2 linked regions of the Lonchura striata genome follow. The protein of the gene in region 2 interacts with the protein of the main gene of each other region in a biochemical or structural test. Links are inferred from orthologs where the notes say so. Each region holds a gene or a part of one and is shown on either strand. Other genes may lie near its edges.

Region 1 (9,922 bases), on a different chromosome or scaffold from region 2:
AAATTCTAGAAAAAGGTATCAATATATATTCTAGATGTCTTATCAATGAGCTTTTTACAAATGCCAATGAAACAGCCCATTGGCTTTGTGGCTCTTCATAGATGGGGTTGTCTCAGACGAATATCAACATCAGCCCAAGTCTCTCCTTGGCATCCCCTTTCTCCTCTGATTGTTTCTCTAAATCTTTTGCTGTAAGCCTAAAAGCAAAAAAGTTCACTGTACAATTGGTTCCAATTAAGAAAATTAAAGCTATATATTTGTGAGCAAAAATAAAAATGACACAGACAACATTTAAACATTTAAAGCACAAGAATAGTGAATGGGCAGGCAGTTATATTGATTCTTGACAATCTACATTATGTGACACATTTCCAGGGTAAATGCATTAGCAGTTCAATGTTTCTTTAATTTTTGCACAGAAGCATCATTTTTTTTGTCAGATCACATTTTGTAACACAATATCAATCTTGCTATACCCATGGTCTAGACGGGCTGTAGGGATTCTGCTGTAATTATGTCAAAAAATGAAATATTCCAAAATCTGACTGACAGCTTGATTACAGTAATGCATGTGACTAAATTCAGGGTGTGCTGGTGTAACGAAAGAGGGAATTGTCAGTGGTAATCAACTGTATTTTTGTTAAATTTTGTGGAGCATTTCTTGCTCTTAGGTTGGAGTACATTGAAACCAATGAGACACCTAGTGGTAGCAGTTTTTTAGAGTTTCGTAGTGCCATTAGAGATTGGGGAAAACCAGTTCTTATGCAAATAATGTATTTTGTTACACGTCATGTAAATATGTTGTAGATTAGCATGGTCATGAACACCAACACTATGCAGTACAGTGGCATAACAGGAAGGATTCCATTCTACTCTCAAGTACAGAATAGCAGTTCTGTAAGTACTTTTTCTTCTCCAGACAGATATTTCTGTATAAAAAAAAGCTTGCCAGAAGACAGGCAAGTACGAATTATAATGATTTGCAGCGTTTTGTTTTTAATTTTCATTGTATTACTTCTCATTCCAAGGAAACAGTCAATGACTTCTGCTCCTTTTACTTCCTCAAAGAAAGTTTGTATGAGACAATTAATTCACCAAAAAAACTATTCATATGAATATGGATTAACTTTTGATATTAAAAAAGGATGAAATGTGCTAATTTTCATTAGCTTTTTGTTTTTTTTTTTTTTTTTTCTCTGAACAATGGACTCCTCAGGCAAAAACTGCTGTCTCTAATCTTACAAAAGATTTCAGGTGTTTTAGCATGTAGTTTATAAGTAAAAATATTAACTAAATGATAAATTTTTAGTGCTCCATCTCATGAAACTGATGGATAAATGCAGATATTATTACCTAGATTTGAATAATTCAAGGTGCCACACAGTATAATTGACTCAAAACTGTGTTCCTTCATGGGTCTGCTGATATCTGCTAACCTGAATATTTTGCCTGCACGTCTCTTCCACAAGTTTTCCTGTCCTTTCAAAAGTCTCCCTTACAACTGCAAAATCCATTCCAGGCCAATATTCTTCCCTTGACCCAGATTTTATTCCCTTTTAACAGTCTGTAACCACTGACTTGTCAGAAACCAGGTTATCTATATTTGTTCTATTTTGGGGAGTGAGGAGACAGGATAGAACAACTAACAAGGCTTTTGAATTTATTTGGTATTTACTGACTGTAATATCTTTGAACAAATGCTATGTTTTCCTCTGTATCTGGGTAGCATTCAGTAAACTTTCCTTCTTGGCAAGGTGTAGTTGGTAAAAATATACAAATAAGATGAAATATAATAAAGTGAAAGATGAAAAAATATATAAAGCTGGCATACTCATTTATTTTCTATGAAAATAATTGAAGAGATTGCTAAAGTAAAAAGTACATAGTGATTCTTTCTTTTTCCCAACACACAAATATATTTTCAAAAAGTGTGCAGAAATATGCTACTTTTTCTATTTTTAAGCAAAAGAGTTAATACTGCATTGTTTAAAAATCCGCTGTAGAAAACATATGACAGCTTGGTGACCTTGGAAGTGATAGTGATGTCTTTAAGCAGCGGGAAATATGGAGCTGTAGATAGGGAGTACAAGGCACAGAGCTCTCCCTGTTTGAATAAAAAGAGGGTTTTAAAAAATATAACCTCATTCTTTTGTGCATTTTTCTAGAGTCAAATCACCTTAAGAAATCACTATTTGATCAGGAAGTCCACAGCTAAGTATAAGCTCACCTGATTCAAGAGATTTATATCCTCTGAGCTACAAAGAATAGCAAATAATAAGTTTATAGAATTCTGGTTTCTTATTTAAATAGCATATAGTGACAACACTACTATTTAGCAGAGAAGTGTTTGGAGGTATGCTAATGACCACAAGAAAATTTCAAACCTCCATAATGTGCTTTAATCACCAGCTGGAGATCAAAAGCCACCATGTGATTTTATACAGCATGGGCAGCTTCCAGAACTGCCTTACATGGAAAGAGATCAATGGTAAAATTGGTAGATACAGCAAAGCTTTGCAATAAAAGCGTTTTATGTATCTTGTTCAAAGTATTTAAGTGCCTTTTAGATCACTGATTGAACCATAGACATTATAAAGTGGAACCTTTTAATACCAAAATAAATTTGCAGAGTAAAATTCCATTACAGGAAAAAGCATTGCACTGCAACAGGACAGATAATAATTCTTTCACATGTAATGGAATATAAGAAATGTTTGATGATAAACAGAAGTTCTTTGCATCGTTACAGCTGGATCCTATGCACTGCTGTTTGTGTGCATGTGAGTGAATCTACTGTGTAGGATATACAGTGCCCCCAGATAAAATGCATTTCTACCTATAAATATAACTTTAACTGGGATGGGGGGAGACACTTCACAGTCAAGACAATTCAGTCATTTAAGTCAAGAAAAACTGCCTATGCATATGAGTTTGGACCTTGACCAAAGAAAACATAGAATGCTTTAGAAACTCATAGAAGTCCTTTAATTTGGATTAATTTAATGCACTTCAAACAAGCTCTCATCTTAGAAGCTTCAACTTATTTAAAATTATTTCCTTTAACAGCTTCAAATCATGTGTCTGTTAGCATCACAAAACTACCAGGAAAAAAGTGAAACTTCCAATGGATCTCTCTGTGTAGCTTTTCTTTCACAGTGTTTTCATCAATTCTTCTAATACTTCATCCCCTTTCTATTGAATTATTGGGTACTCTGTAGAGATTGGATGTCTTCTACCCCATATTCCATTCCTCTCTTTAACAAATTAACTATTCTGGGAATGAAAACAGATGATATTTTAAAAGAGCTGCAAGATATAAAAATATTTTTCCTGCCTCAGCATCTTAATTTTGAATTTTAAATGTTTTGAAAAGTACAATTAATGATGTCCTTTTAATTCATAATATAGAATTAAGAGTCAAGCAAACCAGGTCTTACTTTGAGATTTGTTCCTAATTTTTTATACTTCAAGCTAAACAAACTTTACTCAGCACCTCTGTGTCTGATTCTTAATTTGTAATACGGGGTAAATATTTATTTTGCTGAAGTGATTCTTTATTACATTCTTTAGGAAATTGACCTTAACAAAGGCCAATATTTTACCTCCCTTTGGTGAGGAAAACTTAGATGATGTCCTTATCTCATGGGGAACTTTTTAGACAGATATGCATTAACTTCACTGAGTAAATAAATACTGATTCATCAAATTGATTAAGTATTCAAAATAACAGTTTCTTATTCACTGCATTCTGAAGGAATTAAAAAACATAAATTTATATTCCTTCCCAAAAATACAAAAATTAGCTTAAACTTGTAAAGACACCTGGAAAGATTGGCAAAACCAGTTTTGTTCCTATCTACCTTTTAACAGCACTTGGACATAACTGGACGTTGTACTGGTCTCCTAAAATACACACAAGCTCAGAGGTTACTGGGTAAATCAGTTTAAATTCTTTCGAAATGTATATTAATGGATAAACAAGACAACTCTGGAGTGCCACACTGATATTCTTAGAGAATAGTGATTACTCTTTTAAAGCTTAATAAAAGCCCATTAGATGAAAAAAGCCACAGCCTTAATTGAATTTATACAACCACTTTCCTGTGAGGAAAATAGCATGAAATGTGAATGGGAGGACAAAAAGTAAGTTTGCAGTGAATACATTTTTCCCTTAGTGTCAGTATATTCCCACTGCAGGATGATAATGGGGATATGATGGGAAGTATAATTCCTTGTACACCAGAGCAGGTGGTGTGCAGTGGGTGCATGGCAACAAAAGATACTGAATCAAAAACTTGCTCCTTGGAAAGTGATCATACCACTGCTCTTTTTCAGACTATTTATGGACTCTGACCATAAGTTTTTTAGCAAAATCTTCTGTGGTCCAGTAACTCGTGAGTTCTGCAATTTGAAGAAAATACTGAGATGATTTTTTGCTACAGTAACCTTAAGCTCTACTTCCATGTGTGGTCCTCAGCCCCCAGTTAGGACAGCTGAGTGTAGTGCATGTGTACCCTTTTATCAAGTATCCGTGGTGGCACAGTCTCTCCATTCATTTTGGAACTGTTTACTAATTTGTTTTTGTGGTTTTAATGCTTTGTGCATGTCATTGTATGGCATGGTGTTTTAGCAATGTATATGCATTTTTCTTCTCATTTTGCAAAGCAGAAAAATAAAGAAGATTGCAGAAAGAGAACATATATTGGAATTATAAGACATTTAATTCTATAATTTTTCAGAGAACGGAAATGTGAAGAACATAATTTACTTTAGACCTTGAGTACTACATTCTATTAAACTAAAATGTGATTAATATGTAAAAGTGGAATATTTTTATTAAATTTATCATTTAATTTTCCTCTAGCAGCATCTTAAAATGGTTTCATGATCCCAGTAATTCAATACCAGAGTGGATGGTACTGCAAGTGAAATGCTACCATGGGTGGTAGTGTTCTTCACTTAGTTCAAACAAACTTTTGGTCTTTCCTATAACAGGAGTACCCTAGAACATACAGAACAGCTCAGATTCTTGAACATCTCTAGTAGCACTTAGTATTTCAAAAATACAAATCTAGTATTCTTAATGTAACCCAGGTGGTCAAGGAAATCTATTGTCATGATGAACATACCACAGAATGACAGTTCTTTGTTTGAGGCTGTTTAGTACCTCTAAAACTGCAGCATGTGAGGATGGTGGCCATGAAATCATAATGCCCTTTTAATGGTTTGAAACACCCAGTAAATCAACAAAACAAATGCATTGTCCTTTTATTTTCTTGCCTCATCCCCTAAATTCCCTGGTTTGCCAGGGAATAGGAAATCTTTTGTCTTCTGCTCCCCTCTCTGACTTCACAGCTCGGCAGAATCAGGGGTGGATGCGCGGACATTTGTACCTGACTATGAGAGGAGGAGGAATCACCGTCCCTGGCGGAGGTTAAGGAAAGGTTGGACTTAGTGCCCTGGTCTAGTTCACCTGCTGGTGTTCGATCATAGGCTGGATTCGACGATCTTTCCTAACCTAACTGATCCTGTGGTATCAGCTTGAGAAAGGCCTTCCCAAACTTACCACAGCGTAGAAACCAAGGTTTCCTGTAACTCTCAAAACTGTTTCACTGAAAAGAGCTGTGAAGCACCAGAACAGGCTGCCCAAGGCAGTGGTGGAGTCACCACCCCTGGAAATGTTCCACACGCATGGATGTGGATTTCAGGCACGGTTTTGCAGTGAACACGGGTGTTAAAGCTCTTCTCCAACCCAACCGACTGCAGGACCGCAAACAACTTCAGCTCCTGAGCGATCTCGGGCCGCGGTGCCTCTTGGGAAGTGTGGTTCGTGTCGAGCCTCCTGCGGCTACTTTCTACAGCTATGGACTACACTTCCCAGCAGGCATCGCGACAAGGGCGGGACGGAGGCGGCGGGCAGCGCTCGGCGGACCAATGAGCGCGGGCGGTGCTGGGAGGTGGCGGCGGGGCGGGCGGGCCGCCCGGGGCCGCGGGCAGTGCGGGAATTTCGGAGCGGGAGGAAGGAGCGGCCGGGCCGCTGGCGCAGGAGGTGCTTGGAGCCGGCGGCTGCCTCTGGGTGCAGGTGTTTGCTTTTTTTTTTTTTTTTAAGGAGGCGAATTTTAGGGCACTGTTTCGCCGTGCCGAGCATCCCCGGCCCTTGTGGCGGATTGCGGGCGGTTTTCCCCCTTCCGTCGCGGAGGAGGCCGGTGCTACCGCGGGGCCCGCCCGAGCCTTGTTCCTCCCCGGGGGCAGGGAAGGCCCCTTCCTCTTCCCTTCCCCTTCCCTCCCCTTCCCTTCCCTCCCTCTCCCGGCCCAAGCCGTGGCCGGCGGGGGGGAACAGGGGCAGTGGGGCAGCGCTCCCACAGTTTCACCCGTGAGGTCTGGGGACCCGCCGATCCCTGCTGTGGGCTCTAAAGCGGCCTTAGGCAGCGGCCTATGTTGTTTTACTTCCCGTTTTTTTGTTTTTTTTTTTTTTTTTTTTTAGCACTAAAGCTTGGAGGAGGAGGCTGAATAAAAGCTGTGCTCTGTGTCACTTTAGAGGTTCGTCACTTTCGGGACTGTCTCGGTGTGGCAGCACCTTGGCTGGGAGGTGTGCCTAAATTTTGCTTTAAAGTAATTTTTTTTTCATACACACCTACAAATCACAAACAACTGTAATTTTAGGATCAGGGAAGGCCTGGTGTGTAAGAATTGAGCTAAGTTAGTTTCTGTCATTGGTTATGGTTTTTCTTAACTTTCTACTTCTTGCAATTTGACTTCCCTGTGTAAGACTTCAGCAGTTGCAGACAGGGTGAGCTCTGTTGTTCTCTTTGGTTTTCAATTTATGCTTAAGCACTCTAAGAACTGTAGGCTTTTATTAATTTATGGGGAATCCATGGATCCTTTTTATGGCTAAGAAAAATATAAAAGCTGTTGTGAAGCTTCCTGTAACTATTACTGTGTCAAAGGGCTTGTGCTATCATCTGAAGGAATAAGCTGTCCACTAAATTCTTGGGGGTAAATCTCTAAGTGAGGTAGGATTCCTGATGAATTTCAGAGCTGATGATTTTTATACAGTGTGCTAAATTATCAAAAAGCCTTTAAGTGTCTCACTCACATATGTTAGGTATTTGCAGTTGGTGTAGGGGTGAGGTGATTTGGAGTGATATGATTTGGTATCTTACAATGATCACTGTTTTTTATTGCAACAACTGAGTGATGATTAAAATTTTCAGGAGAACCTTAAATAACCTTAAAAGAAACTTTAAGAAAAGTAATGTTTTCTTGAGAAAGCAATTTAAAATTAGTAGCACAGTAGTTCCACTTGTAAATGACTGTTTCCTACCTGTGAACAAGCTGCATTCTGAAATACTATGTTATCTTGGTTTATTCAGCAAAAAAAGGAAAAAAAGGCATTTCCTTGGTCAACTGTGGTGCTGTTGTGGTTACATATTTCTCAGTAATTGTGGCCCACCAATGGCATTTATTTGTCTAAAAATACTTTTTTTCTTTGGGGCAGAACTGTAGTGCTTCCTCTTCTGTGAGTGCCATAAACTGTTCAGTATCTTAATCAGGAACTTAGATTGGAGAGGTTTTCACAGAGAGTCAAGGAATGTTTGATTTATGCAAGAAAGTCTTTGTTCACTGTTCACCTCACTTGGTTTGACAAGTCACCAACACATCAGTTATTTTTTGGGTTGCCCCTCCCATGAAACAGCTCTACAGTTTTCAGGAATCTTTAAGTGTCATATTCTTTCTACCCTACTCATTGAGAAAAAGTTTAGTTTTGTTTTCTCCTTGTCTTAATTTTTTTTTTTTTAGGCAGATGTGGATTTCTTGCTTTGACTAACGACCAATTTAATGGTGCATAGATTTCAGGTCTTGCTGGAGCTACCTGCTCATCTGGGAGCACAGCATGCCTTCACCAGCATGCCTTCTCTGGGTTGACAATGAAAATATGTCCTACTAAGATAAACAACTGTAAAAATTACAGTTTCCAGAGAATAAAAGAGGATGATCAGGAAGCAACCAGTTTGACTTGACACACAGCAGAAATTCCTTCAAAATAAAATTTCTTTCAGAGTTTTGTCTATAATGAATGGCAACAAGACTTGAGAAGTGGCTATTCATATTTATTCTAAGAGGTCAAGTATTGCTTAAGTAGCAATAGTAGCAGGCAACATTTGTAAAGATAACACCACTGATATGCAGACAATTTTACATGTGTAGTGCTATTTCAAGTACAGTGTATTCTGTTTCTTCCAAGATGTTTTATTAGGAAGAAGCCTTTGTAGTACTGAGAGGCTTCTGGAGAGAGTTTAGACAAATAGACTTCTGTTATTCATACTTTTTAGTAGGAAAATCTTTGTTTTGAGCACATTTTAGCAACAGAAACTGCTGCTGTTTACAATCATGCACCTTGAATATTGTTCTTGTCAGGCACCTTAGCTAAGTAGGGTCAGGTCTGACACTTGAATGATAGTACAGTACTTGACATCCATGGCACTGTTTTCAAGGACTTTAGCATGATTGCAGGAACTAATGAATTAAACTTCACAATACCTGTGGATGGAAAATACTTCCTTTGTTGATGAAAAGAAGTCTTGAGAGGAAAGTTTAAGGTTTTTTTTTTTTCTTTTTGGAGGGATGGTGGTGGTGAATTTTTAAAAGTGATTTTAGGGAGAAGTAGATGGCTTTATTCCAGTTCTGCAGTGTAGAGTAGACAGCTCTATGTCATGTTTGTTGGTGCAAAAGTTTTCTGACAAACCCCTTGTGTTTGCTGTATTATGATTTGAAAAGCATATAGAATGATAGAATTTGTAGTAATTTTAATTGCCTTTTTAAATTTTTTTATTGTGTTTTTTTTTCTAGTTCTGTCTTTTCATGTAGAAAATTTCTGTGGTGTCCAAGTGTCTTTGGTGTCAATCAGTAGAAGATATTTGAATGGATTTATCCAAATAAATGTGAAAGCATGTGCAGCCATTGCTTAAATATTTCCTTGGCTAACAGCTTTTTTGCAAGAGATTGAGTGCTTAGTATTGTGCATGCTGCCCATTGCAAGCGATCAGTGTTTGGCACCTATGGCCTACTGATAGTTTGACCAACTTGTAAGTAGGCACAGTGCCATGTTAACAGATGGGTATGAATACAGACAGCCAAGAAACCATGTATGTGTATCCAGTGTATTTGTTAAGGGCAGGGTTCCCAGCTGGGGACATTCAAACTTATGTCCATTTTGAATTTTTGCTTTTATGGATAAAGGGAAGTTGTCATTAACAATTTTTTATTTAAATAAATACCTTCAGGCATACAATTATTGACCATGTTAAACAAAATAAGAAGGGGTGTGGAGGAAGAGGGAAGCATCAGCTCTTCCTTTGATACTCTTGAGGAGCTATTTTAACTAAATTTAATTCCTTTTCAAGCAAGGCTGCTATCGAGAGTCTCACTGTGAATGTCAAAGATGTGCAATGTATCAATAGGTTTGTTTCACAGGCTTGCTAGCCTTATTGTAAGAGAGGCTACAAATTTTTCTTTTGTGGGCAACAATCTGTCCAGCATTCAAGCACTTAAGTGCATTTGTTCAAGTCTTGCCTGAATTATTTGTAATAACTCAGAGGTCAAGGAGGGGAGGTTCTTCAAGCCCTCTGCATAGTTCTTATATTAACAATAAATTGTTTCTTAGCTTGACGACAAGTATGCTTATTTTGGATATATTTTGGTATCCTTTAGATGGCAGTGTGTGTGATCTTGTCACACATCTGAGTCACTGGGCAATGCTGCTGATTTTCACACTATCTTGCCTTATCTGAGTCAGCTTTGGGGCTCTAGACTTCTGGTGTATTTCATTAGCACTTCTAATAGTTTCAGTCTGCCCTTTGTTTTAATCCATTTCCGGATTTAGATGTCCTGTGAAGCTGCTTAAGGGTCTGCAGTGATCTTT
Region 2 (9,980 bases):
CTTGCCCTGACTTCAAATAACAGGTAGACTCGAGTAGACAGCTACATTTTCCTACTTGAGGATATGCATTTTTTGTCATCTCTAAAATATTAATGATTATTAATAATCTTTGTAATTGGTAGTTTCTGTTGTTTTTCTTTTTTTAGTAACAGCTACACTTTTGAAATTATAAATTACTTTTGGCTTCTAGAGTTTTAATTTTTACTGCTGACCTGTAGAGTCAACTGGATGCAAGGAAAAACACTGCACAAAATATCAAAATATTTAAGCCATACTTCACCTATCACAGTTCTGTGAGTGAAAGAAGGAAGGAAAGAAAACCAGTACCTTATATTCTGAAACTTCAGGACTGTAATTCTCAGTTAGTTCCAGGTGCTGTTGAAAGAAATGCAAGTAACAAACTGTAACTTTTCCCAATCTTTGATGATTCCACCTACATCCAGACAGCTTCTTCAGCAACAGAAAGTGCAAGAGCCAAGTCTCTACTCCTGGAACCCAATGCCAATTATGGTCCCAGGTAGACTTCTAGGACTTGCTGTTCTAAAGGATTTACATTCAGGTCAGGCTGTGTGAGGGATCAGGGAGATGGATCCCAGTCTCCTCAACTGCCAGGATTTCATTTCTATTTACTTTTTTATTTTGCAGTGCAGTGTAATTATTTGTATGGTAAGATTTCCAATAATATTTACATGGAAAATTACATTGAAATGACAACAGAGACAGCATTTCTTGTGTTCTACAAATAAAGAAAGTCTGAAGAAATGCACTTAACTTCTGTATATATTCCAAACTTTGTCAAAAATCTTTAAGCCAGGCTTTACAACAAGTGAAATTTTTAAAGAAACAAGTTAGGTCAGAAACTTAAAGAGTGGCACAAATGAAGCAATTTTAACCTACTAACATTTAGCATTTCCAGAGTTTACCTTAAAGGCAATTCTTTCTCCCACTCGGGGTGGAGCAGCTAGAAGAGGTAACACACTATAGTCTCTCTTGGGAATCTCCATGGGATTCTGTGAAACAAAGAGTAACCCACTGATTTAATTACTGTATCAGTGAAAACAGAAGACAATGTTCATGCTGTTTGGATTGCAAGAATCACTGAGAAGAGCAAGGTACATGCTTTGTTTTTAGATATAGAATACAATCACTTTATTGCTGTTTCACAAACACATCCTCAGGCTGACAAACTGAATTACAGTAAATAAAAGATCAGCCTTTATCCCACTAAGCTATTTCTGCTGTTATGAGTTACTCTCATCCTATATATACTCTCATCAAGCTGCCAGAGAAAGGTGACCTCTGCCTGTGTCAGTCACTCACCTGGACAAGGACAGAAGTGTTTGTCGCAGCTTCATTTAACTGCCTCTGTTTCTGGCCTTCACTGCTGTAGTTATAGAAGAAGCCAGGGTTTGCTCCTCTCCCATGGCCCCTCATCATCCCACGAAACCCACGGCCCCTAGGTCCTCTCCAGAAGTTATCCTCTCCTGTTCCACGCCCCCTTCCACGGCTGGGGCAGGCAAACGGTCCTTGGACTCTGGCTGGCAACTGTTTAATGCACCTCGTTACTACGGAATTACACAGTCCAGCACACGCTGCTGCAGACTTTTTAATGACAAGTGTGTCTGAATCTGAACTATCAGAGTCTGAAGAGAAGCTCTGTGCTTTGGGAGCTTTGGTGCTGGCTTTTACAGCCACCACATGGTTTGGCACCGATTTTTCCTTTGCGGTGCTGTCTTGTGCTGGTGTCACCGTCTCATCCTCTGTACTCGAGTCAGAATCTGAACTAGAAGACCGGGGTTTTTTAGCATTTTTACTAATTGCAGTCTTAGTCTTTTCAGTGTTAGACTTTACAGTCACTTTATTAGTTTTCACATGAGAATCTGAAGCAGCTTGGGATTTGTCTTTGGGAAGTGTCACCACTACAGGTTTATGGGAAGATTTATTTTCCTTTATATTTAATTCACTGCTGTCACTGTCAGACGATGTGCTGGATGAATCTGAAGCTCCCACCCTCTTTTTCCTGGACTGTGTTGTGATCTTTTTGGTGCTATTTTTACCAGAATTTAGAGAAAAACTCTCATTTGCCTGTTCTAAAGACATCTTTGCTGCAGCAACCTTTGTCTGATTTTCATCCTTCTTTTTTGTTGCCAACTGCTTCTCCCTCTCTGTTTTTTTCATCTTTTTAGAATGGGAAGTAGAGCTCTCTTCCTTACCTTCTGCAAGCATATTTCTTCCCCTAACTTCTTCCTTTCTTTTTCTTTTCGTGTACCTTTTCTGAGAGTCCCAAGTATCTATAGAGGTCTCTTCCCTACAAGAGGAATACTCAAGTTTACGCTTCTCCTTTTTCTTTTTCCTTTTATGCTTGCCTTCATTCCTAGACAATTCTTCCTCATCCTCCTTATGTCTGTGCCTTTTTTTGTCTTCTTTTGTTGTGTAACTAAAGCCATCATCTATCTCTTCATAATCATCTGCAACTATCTCTTCCAATTTTACTCTGTTAAAAAAACAAACAAAAGCCACCGTTCAGCATAATGAACACTTTTCCCCACACGTGAGCAGCTCAGGCAAGTTCCCCTAGAGTGGAGATGCTCCAGCTCTTCCCTGGACAGTCCAGAACCCTCCCCTGCAGGCACAGGCTCCCTTTCCATCTTCAGGAACATTTCCAACTGCTCGGCTCCCTCCATCCTTTTGGACATCCTGAGGTGTCTCAGGCACTGGGAGTCAGTGCCCATGGGCACCCCGCTCCCACTCCACTGCCCAGGGAAGGAAGAGCTCAGACCCCCGGGGAAGTTCCATCCCCGTCCCACCAAAACCACGTGGAGATTCACTGAATCCCAGAATGGGTCAGGCTGGAAGGGACCACAGTGGGGTCATCTGGTCCCACCTCCCTGCCTAAGCAGAGTCATCCCAGAGCACAGGGCTGTGTCCAGAGGGCTCTGGAATATCCCCAGTGAGGGAAACTCCACATCCTCTCTGTCCCAGCACAGGGAAGCAGCTCTTCCTCCCGGTCAGGTGGAACTTCCTGGGCATCAGCTCCTGCCCGCTGCCTTTCGTCCCACGGCTCGCACCACCGGGCAGAACCCGCTCCGGCCTCTTGGCACCGCTGACAGACACTGATGAGGTGTGAGTGGGACCGACCGCCGATCCCGCTGTCCTGATCCCGGTCCCGGTCCCGCTCTCTGTCCGACCCCGCTGTCCCGCTCCGTATCCCGCTATCCCTATACAGGTCCCACTGTCCCTATCCCGCTCTCTCTGTCCGATCCCGCAGCCCCGGTCCCTGTCCCGGTCCCTGTCCCTGTCCCTGTCCCGGTCCCTGTCCCGGTCCCTGTCCCGGTCCCTGTCCCTGTCCCTGTCCCTGTCCCGGTCCCTGTCCAGGTTCCGGTCCCTGTCCCGGTCCCTGTCCCGGTCCCGGTCCCTGTCCCGGTCCGGTCCCTGTCCCGGTCCCTGTCCCTGTCCCTGTCCCGGTCCCTGTCCCTGTCCCTGTTCCTGTCCCGGTCCCGGTCCCTGTCCCGGTCCCTGTCCCTGTCCCTGTTCCGGTCCCTGTCCCTGTCCCTGTTCCGGTCCCGGTCCCTGTCCCTGTCCCGGTCCCTGTCCCGGTCCCTGTCCCTGTCCCTGTCCCTGTCCCGGTCCCTGTCCCGGTCCCGGTCCCTGTCCCGGTCCCTGTCCCTGTCCCTGTTCCGGTCCCGGTCCCGGTCCCTGTCCCGGTCCCTGTCCCGGTCCCTGTCCCTGTCCCTGTCCCTGTTCCTGTCCCGGTCCCGGTCCCTGTCCCGGTCCCTGTCCCTGTCCCTGTCCCTGTTCCGGTCCCGGTCCCGGTCCCTGTCCCGGTCCCTGTCCCGGTCCCTGTCCCTGTCCCTGTCCCGGTCCCTGTCCCGGTCCCGGTCCCTGTCCCTGTCCCTGTCCCTGTCCCTGTCCCGGTCCCTGTCCCGGTCCCGGTCCCGGTCCCTGTCCCGGTCCCTGTCCCCATCCCTGTCCCTGTCCCGGTCCCCATCCCTGTCCCGGTCCCTGTCCCGGTCCCTGTCCCGGTCCCTGTCCCCATCCCTGTCCCTGTCCCGGTCCCCATCCCTGTCCCGGTCCCTGTCCCGGTCCCGGTCCCTGTCCCGGTCCGGTCCGGTCCGCACCTCAGCGAGTCGTTGTCCCGCACGAGGCGCGCGCTCTCGGCGGGCGGCAGCAGCGCCCCCTCGAGGAAGAGGCTGAGGCGGGCGCGGCGGCTGAAGCCGAAGCGATGGCGGATGAGGCTGAGCAGGTCCGTGACGAGCCGCGCCTGGCCCGGCTCCAGCAGCAGCCAGCACAGCGCGCAGCCCGGGCTGGCCGGCGGAGGGTGGTCGAACACCAGCCGCAGCCGCAGCGGGCCGCCGCCGGCCGCCATCGTGAGATGGAGGAGGAGGAGGAGGAAGAGGCGGGGCGGGGCGGGGCGGGGCCGCAGGGCGGGCGGGCCGGTCCCGTGACCGCGGGAGCTGCGGGAGCGATGGGGCCGCTGCGGGCCGGGACCGCGCTGTACGTGCTGCTGCTGGCGGCAGGTACGGGCCGGGCGGGACGGGAGCGGGGCCTCTGGGCACGGGGCTCCGAGCAAAGCGCTCCTGTGTCCCGCAGCCGCTGCCGGGCAGGGCCCGGGATGAACCGCGCGAAATTCCGCTTGCCGGGGTGGCGGCCGGGCGGGACGGAGAGGGTAGTGGCAGTCCCGGCGGGAGCAGCAAAGCCTCCTTGGCTTGGAAAAGCCCTACTGCTCCTGCTCCATTGCGCTGTTGCCTTTTGCCCTGATCATTGAGATTAAGTGATGGAGTGTCAAAGGTCTGTTCCGTGCCCGAGATGGGCAGTAGACTGACTGCGTAAGGTGACCAGACTTTACCGACTGAAATTCTGTTTTGGATTCCTTTAGAAGTGACCCTCTGTCTGCCTGCATCTGCTCTCCTTGGGGGCTGTGAAGCGGTGCGGTCCCCGCACATCCAAGTGCTGGGATGAGTTCGGTTGTCGGGTCATGGGGCCAGTAACTCTAAGGCTCCGGGTTCGATCCCCGCCCGGCCCGTTCACGAAACGGTTGGACTCAGTTTTTTTGGTCCCTTTCAGCTCAGAATATTCTGTGATACTTATCGAAATTGCAGCTGGTTATGGGAGTTATTTCACTGGGGCTGTGCCTTCAGCCCAGGCCTTGAAAACACATCAAGAACAAATCATTCCAGCGATTTGGCTGTTATTCTGGCGGCAGCTCTCTTAATTACACACTTCATGACAATAACTCGGGTGTGGGTGTAAGTATAGGCAGATTTCTTATAATAATTTTCTTTAATAGTAGTAACGTTTCTAATTATCACACTCAAGATTGAAATGTAATGTTTTGGAACGATTCTGGTGGAAAGTCCAAAGCTGAGCCTTTTTACTTAGCTGATTGTTATTGTTTCCCCTCAAGGCGTAGTTCTGAGGCAGCCCCAAGAACCCAAAGAGGTGTGGGGATATGTGGATGTTCGGAGCAAGGCCCACATGTTCTGGTGGCTCTACTATGCAAATAACCCAACCAAAGACTTCACAGAGTTACCTCTTGTTTTGTGGCTTCAGGTAAGGTTTGGCGAGAGACACCAAAGCAATAATTCTTTCCATCTGTGCCTGGTTCAGTCTGATATCTGATATTGTGCAGCTCTACAGAAACAGGATTCAAAACTGCCTAGTTCTAAATGCCTTGCCTTGTGAATGAGGTATTCGGGTTGGGAAAAATGAGAGTGGTTTCATTCTGCAGTTGTGGGATGTCCTCAACTGCTCACCTTCCATCAAGTTTGATTGCAATAACAGAAGTTGTTCTTATCTTTCATACAACAGTAGTGATTTTTGTGCATTGTAATTTCACAGCTCCTTTCCTGAAGAGTTTGTAGTCTAAACAATATTCAGAGAGAGAAATAAAATAACCAGAGATTGAGGATGATTTCTAAATGGAAACAATCCCAGTTTGATAAAAATGGTGGTGTGTTCTCTACAGTACATTGCAGAAGTTAATGTTGAATAGAATCGCTTGAGGACTTGTTCTTACTCTCTCTGGATTGTTTCATCAGAGTGAAACCCAAAGGCTGTACATGCTGATTAAGCTAATGACTTGCAAAGTCCCAGTTAGCAGTTAGCTTTTGCACTCCATATTCAGGGAATAAGGTTTTGAAACTGTGCTCAAATAGCAGGCAGCTCACCAGAAGCTCTCACAAGTGGGTGACTGCTTCTCTGTTGAATTCTTGCTTTCAGAAATGGCATGTGTGTGCATAGCCCAAGACCATGAGGAACAGATCCTGCTCTACAAATTAATGTGTACTGCAAAAACCATTTCTAAAAATTTACAATCTGTCATTCTACTTACTGGCTGTCTTGTATTTTTCTTCCATCTGTCATATCTGTGCCATGCTGCCTTTTAACATCTGTGTCATTTGATATTTCCCTGCAGGGAGGTCCAGGAGCTTCAGGCTGTGGATATGGGAACTTTGAAGAGATTGGTCCATTAGACAAAGAAATGAAACCAAGAAATACAACCTGGGTACAGTAGAGAGTTCAGCTTCTAACTACTAATTACAAATGTTTGTTTGCTTGTGTGAGCAGATGATGACTACACAAAAAAAGCACGGAACAGTTTTTCATTTAAAGTTCAGTAGAACTATAATATTTCAAGTTAAAGTATTGTGGTTAATAAGTTAGCTGATAGGAATAGCCTTGTTCAAAACTGAGGGGTAGACATTAATTTGATTTGATAAAGTATGTCTGGTCTTCCATGGAACTGTGAAATGGGAAACAGAGCAGGGAAATTGTAGAAAGTGTTCTTTCAAATCACAGCTCCATTGTGTGCAGTCACAGAGTTTTTTCTGGGTGGCTGGCAGCGTAAAACCTATGGCTTATAATTACAGGTCCAGTATGGCCTTCAAGGGAGAACAAATGACAGCTGCCTGTGAAGGTGGAAGTTTAATTAGAGCAATATATCTGTGCCCTGAGTTACCAATAGACTGAAGTACTCGGAGTTCCCCTAGGTGACCTGCCCCTGGATCACTGGGAGTTTTTTTGGCTGTATTTCTCATTACAGATTGGGCAAATTGAAGGCCTTTATGTTGCACCTAATTTTTCTGCAAGTCTTTTCAGGTCCAGGGATTTGCTGGCTCAGTTAATCATTTGTGCCATCAAAACTAAGATTTTTGCTGGTGCTGAACTGAGGTTTTATACAAACTTTTCTGCTTCTGCAGTTGCAGGCAGCCAGTATCTTGTTTGTGGATAATCCTGTGGGCACTGGATTCAGTTATGTGGATGATTGTAGCTTGTTTGCCCAAAACCTTACCGCAGTAGTTTCTGATATGATGGTTTTTCTTGGAGAATTCTTCAAGGGTAGAACAGAATTCCAGGTAAGTGAATTGAAATCTTGTTTATTGTTGTATTTTTCTCTGCTTTTAAATATAATTCAAAAAGAATTAGGGAACAGACTTCCAAATGAACAGTGTTTTGCTGCTAGGTAGTGTGTGGTGCAAATATAACCACTGTCTCTTATTTTCCACATTTCAGAAGTTGTATCTTGATTTTGGGGTTTAGTTAGATAAGCATTGGGGTGGAGTTCTGTCTGTTGAGTTATCCGAGCAGCATATACAGGATCACAGCTGCTTATAGTTCCAAAATGCTTCAGAACCAACCCCAGCAAATCACCAGGATGTTATGGAAACCTAATGTGCAGCTTAAAATAAGAAAAACATTAAATGTTTGAGGATGAGAGGTGAACAGCCAGTGCCTGGGTCCTATGGGATCTGGGAGATGATTGGAGGCATCTTCTGCCCTCCGCACAACAAGTTCCTTGTGTGGTTTTTCTCTCCCCAGACCATCCCATTCTACATATTTTCTGAATCTTATGGAGGTAAAATGGCTGCTGGGGTTGCTTTAGAGCTGCACAATGTAAGTACTTGAAGAATAAAGTTCACTTTTCACTTCAAAACAGGGGGTTCTACAGGTACTTTTATTTTCTGGAATACACTGTCCCTATTGCCTAATTCACAGTGCTACTTACTTTTTTCACTTAATGAGAACTGTTTCTAGAGTCACGAATAACTAAAATTTAATTATTGGTGTTTTGTTTTGGTTTTCCTCTTATTCACAAAGGCTGTTCAAAAAGGGACCATAAAGTGCAATTTTATGGGCGCTGCTCTTGGAGACTCGTGGATTTCACCTTTGGGTATGTTTAAACTCCTCAGACTGTGGATGATTTGTTGTTGTTATTTTGTTTTGTTGGGTGTTGTAATCATTCCATGAGTACCTGAAGTCAAAAAGGCCATCCCTGCCTTAAGTGAATTAACTCTCTAGTGAGTCTGGTAAATCAAAAATAAATACTACAGCCTTGCAAGTCTTCTTGTGACTGATGAATCTCTCTTTAGAATGTATCTAGATTAGGAAAAGTCAGAGAGGAAGGTCAGCGAGGAACACACTTGCATCTGAAGTGGAGGGGATGGTAAAATGTTCCTACACATCTCCACAGCCTCTGAGGTGTTTTTGGCTGAAATGTGGCCACCAAGCCATTCATGAGGCTGCAAGTGAGATTTGTGTCTGGTGAGGATAAAAAGCAAGTTAAAGGGCTTGTGGTCCTTCAGTGGTATTGGCAAGGGCAGGCTTCACAGATTCTCTGCAGCACAGAACAAATACCAAGCAAACTCTTATCTGTCTGCCATCATCTGGTCCTTGAGAATTACAAACAAAGTTGTTATAAAACAGATTTGTTTTATAGCTCAGTTTTTACCTTGTGACTTTACAAAGAGATAAGTTTAGATAATTCCCATCCTCTTGTTAGACCTCTACCCATGTTTGGCAATGTGCTGTAATGCTGGGGGGAGAACACTGGTCAAAATGTGTTGGTTGCTTTAAATAAATTTCACTGGTTAACTCATAGGGGATTAATGATGTTGCAGGACTTGTAAAGAACTTGCTCTGCGGTACATAACTTTAGGGTTAACTGTACCTTTTTACTGATTAAGTAATCTCCATTTATTTTTCTCATAAGCATTGTTGCCCCAGTAAAGGAGAAGTCAGTTAAATCTTACATCAATAACTGATTATCAGTTTGATGTTTGAAATCTGTTCTTTGTTTAGACTCTGTGCTGTCCTGGGGGCCCTACCTTTACAGCACTGTAAGTACCTTCTTAAACTCCTGGTTCTCACCTGATCCCTTGTGCTGCCATACAGTACAAATGGATGTTGAATTTTAAGATTACCTCTTGGCCTGAATAAAACCTAAAAAGCATGGAGGCTGTTAGCAGTAAATGGATGTGGAATTGTAATTGAAGCTGTCCTTCTTTGTGTTTGTCTTCCAGTCTCTCCTTGATGATAATGGTCTAGCAGAGGTGACTGCTGTTGCCAAAGAAATAATGGATGCAATAAATAAAAATCAATATGGGCTGGCTACTGAGCTGTGGGGCAAGGCTGAAAGTGTCATTGAAGAGGTAGGATCTTTGACTAACATTAAGAATTAACTGCTGCCTGGGGAGGCACATGATTTCAAGTTACCCTTTCTATGAGTGCTGAGCTGGCATGAATTTTTCAGTCTTCTGCCTAGTCACTTTTGCCAGGATTTGTTGTATCCCAGTGCTGATATAAAGGAGTGTTTGCTATGCCCTGCTGGCAGAGTGACAGGCAAAGTGGGCAGGACAGCCCTTGTGGTCTTCCAGTATTGCACTGAGGTTTCAGCATACAATAGTCCTCTTGATTCCACAGCTTCAATTTAAATAAACCGTATCTGCTGGAAAGCTTTGAGTACTGAAAACTGCATCCACCAAGATAAAAACTTGAAGTTAAGCACACATCTCTATTTGAAGAACTACAATAGGTGCACAGGATGGAAAGGAACCTAGAGTTTATGGTCTGTTACTGTGGGTCATTGCATCTCGTTACTTAGAAAGTTCCAGCATAAAAGACTGGTAAAGTTTTGCTTTGGTTTCTCCTGTTAAAAGGTTCCTCCCAAATCTAATTCATTGTTGCATCTCATTCTTTAGTAC

The links.
Region 1: of the proteins of COIL (region 2) and VRK1, one has a biochemical effect on the other in vitro, tested with the Homo sapiens proteins (2 studies listed by BioGRID and IntAct, with this or other methods). The link is inferred for Lonchura striata from reciprocal best matches to the Homo sapiens genes COIL and VRK1.

What each region holds. Positions count from the first base shown.
Region 1 is NC_134608.1:13,986,566-13,996,487, reverse strand, and holds the start of VRK1 (serine/threonine-protein kinase VRK1), read left to right. Parts: upstream 1-5,996; 5' UTR 5,997-6,082; intron 6,083-9,922. UniProt on the Homo sapiens protein: Serine/threonine kinase involved in the regulation of key cellular processes including the cell cycle, nuclear condensation, transcription regulation, and DNA damage response.
Region 2 is NC_134621.1:7,703,525-7,713,504, forward strand, and holds the start of COIL (coilin), read right to left. Parts: upstream 4,395-9,980; 5' UTR 4,367-4,394; coding exon 4,119-4,366; intron 2,495-4,118; coding exon 1,321-2,494; intron 1,011-1,320; coding exon 924-1,010; intron 376-923; coding exon 328-375; intron 1-327. Other genes in the region: SCPEP1 (retinoid-inducible serine carboxypeptidase), read left to right, coding at 4,466-4,517, 5,405-5,550, 6,416-6,505, 7,200-7,355, 7,819-7,893, 8,098-8,170, 9,079-9,116, 9,300-9,428. UniProt on the Homo sapiens protein: Component of nuclear coiled bodies, also known as Cajal bodies or CBs, which are involved in the modification and assembly of nucleoplasmic snRNPs.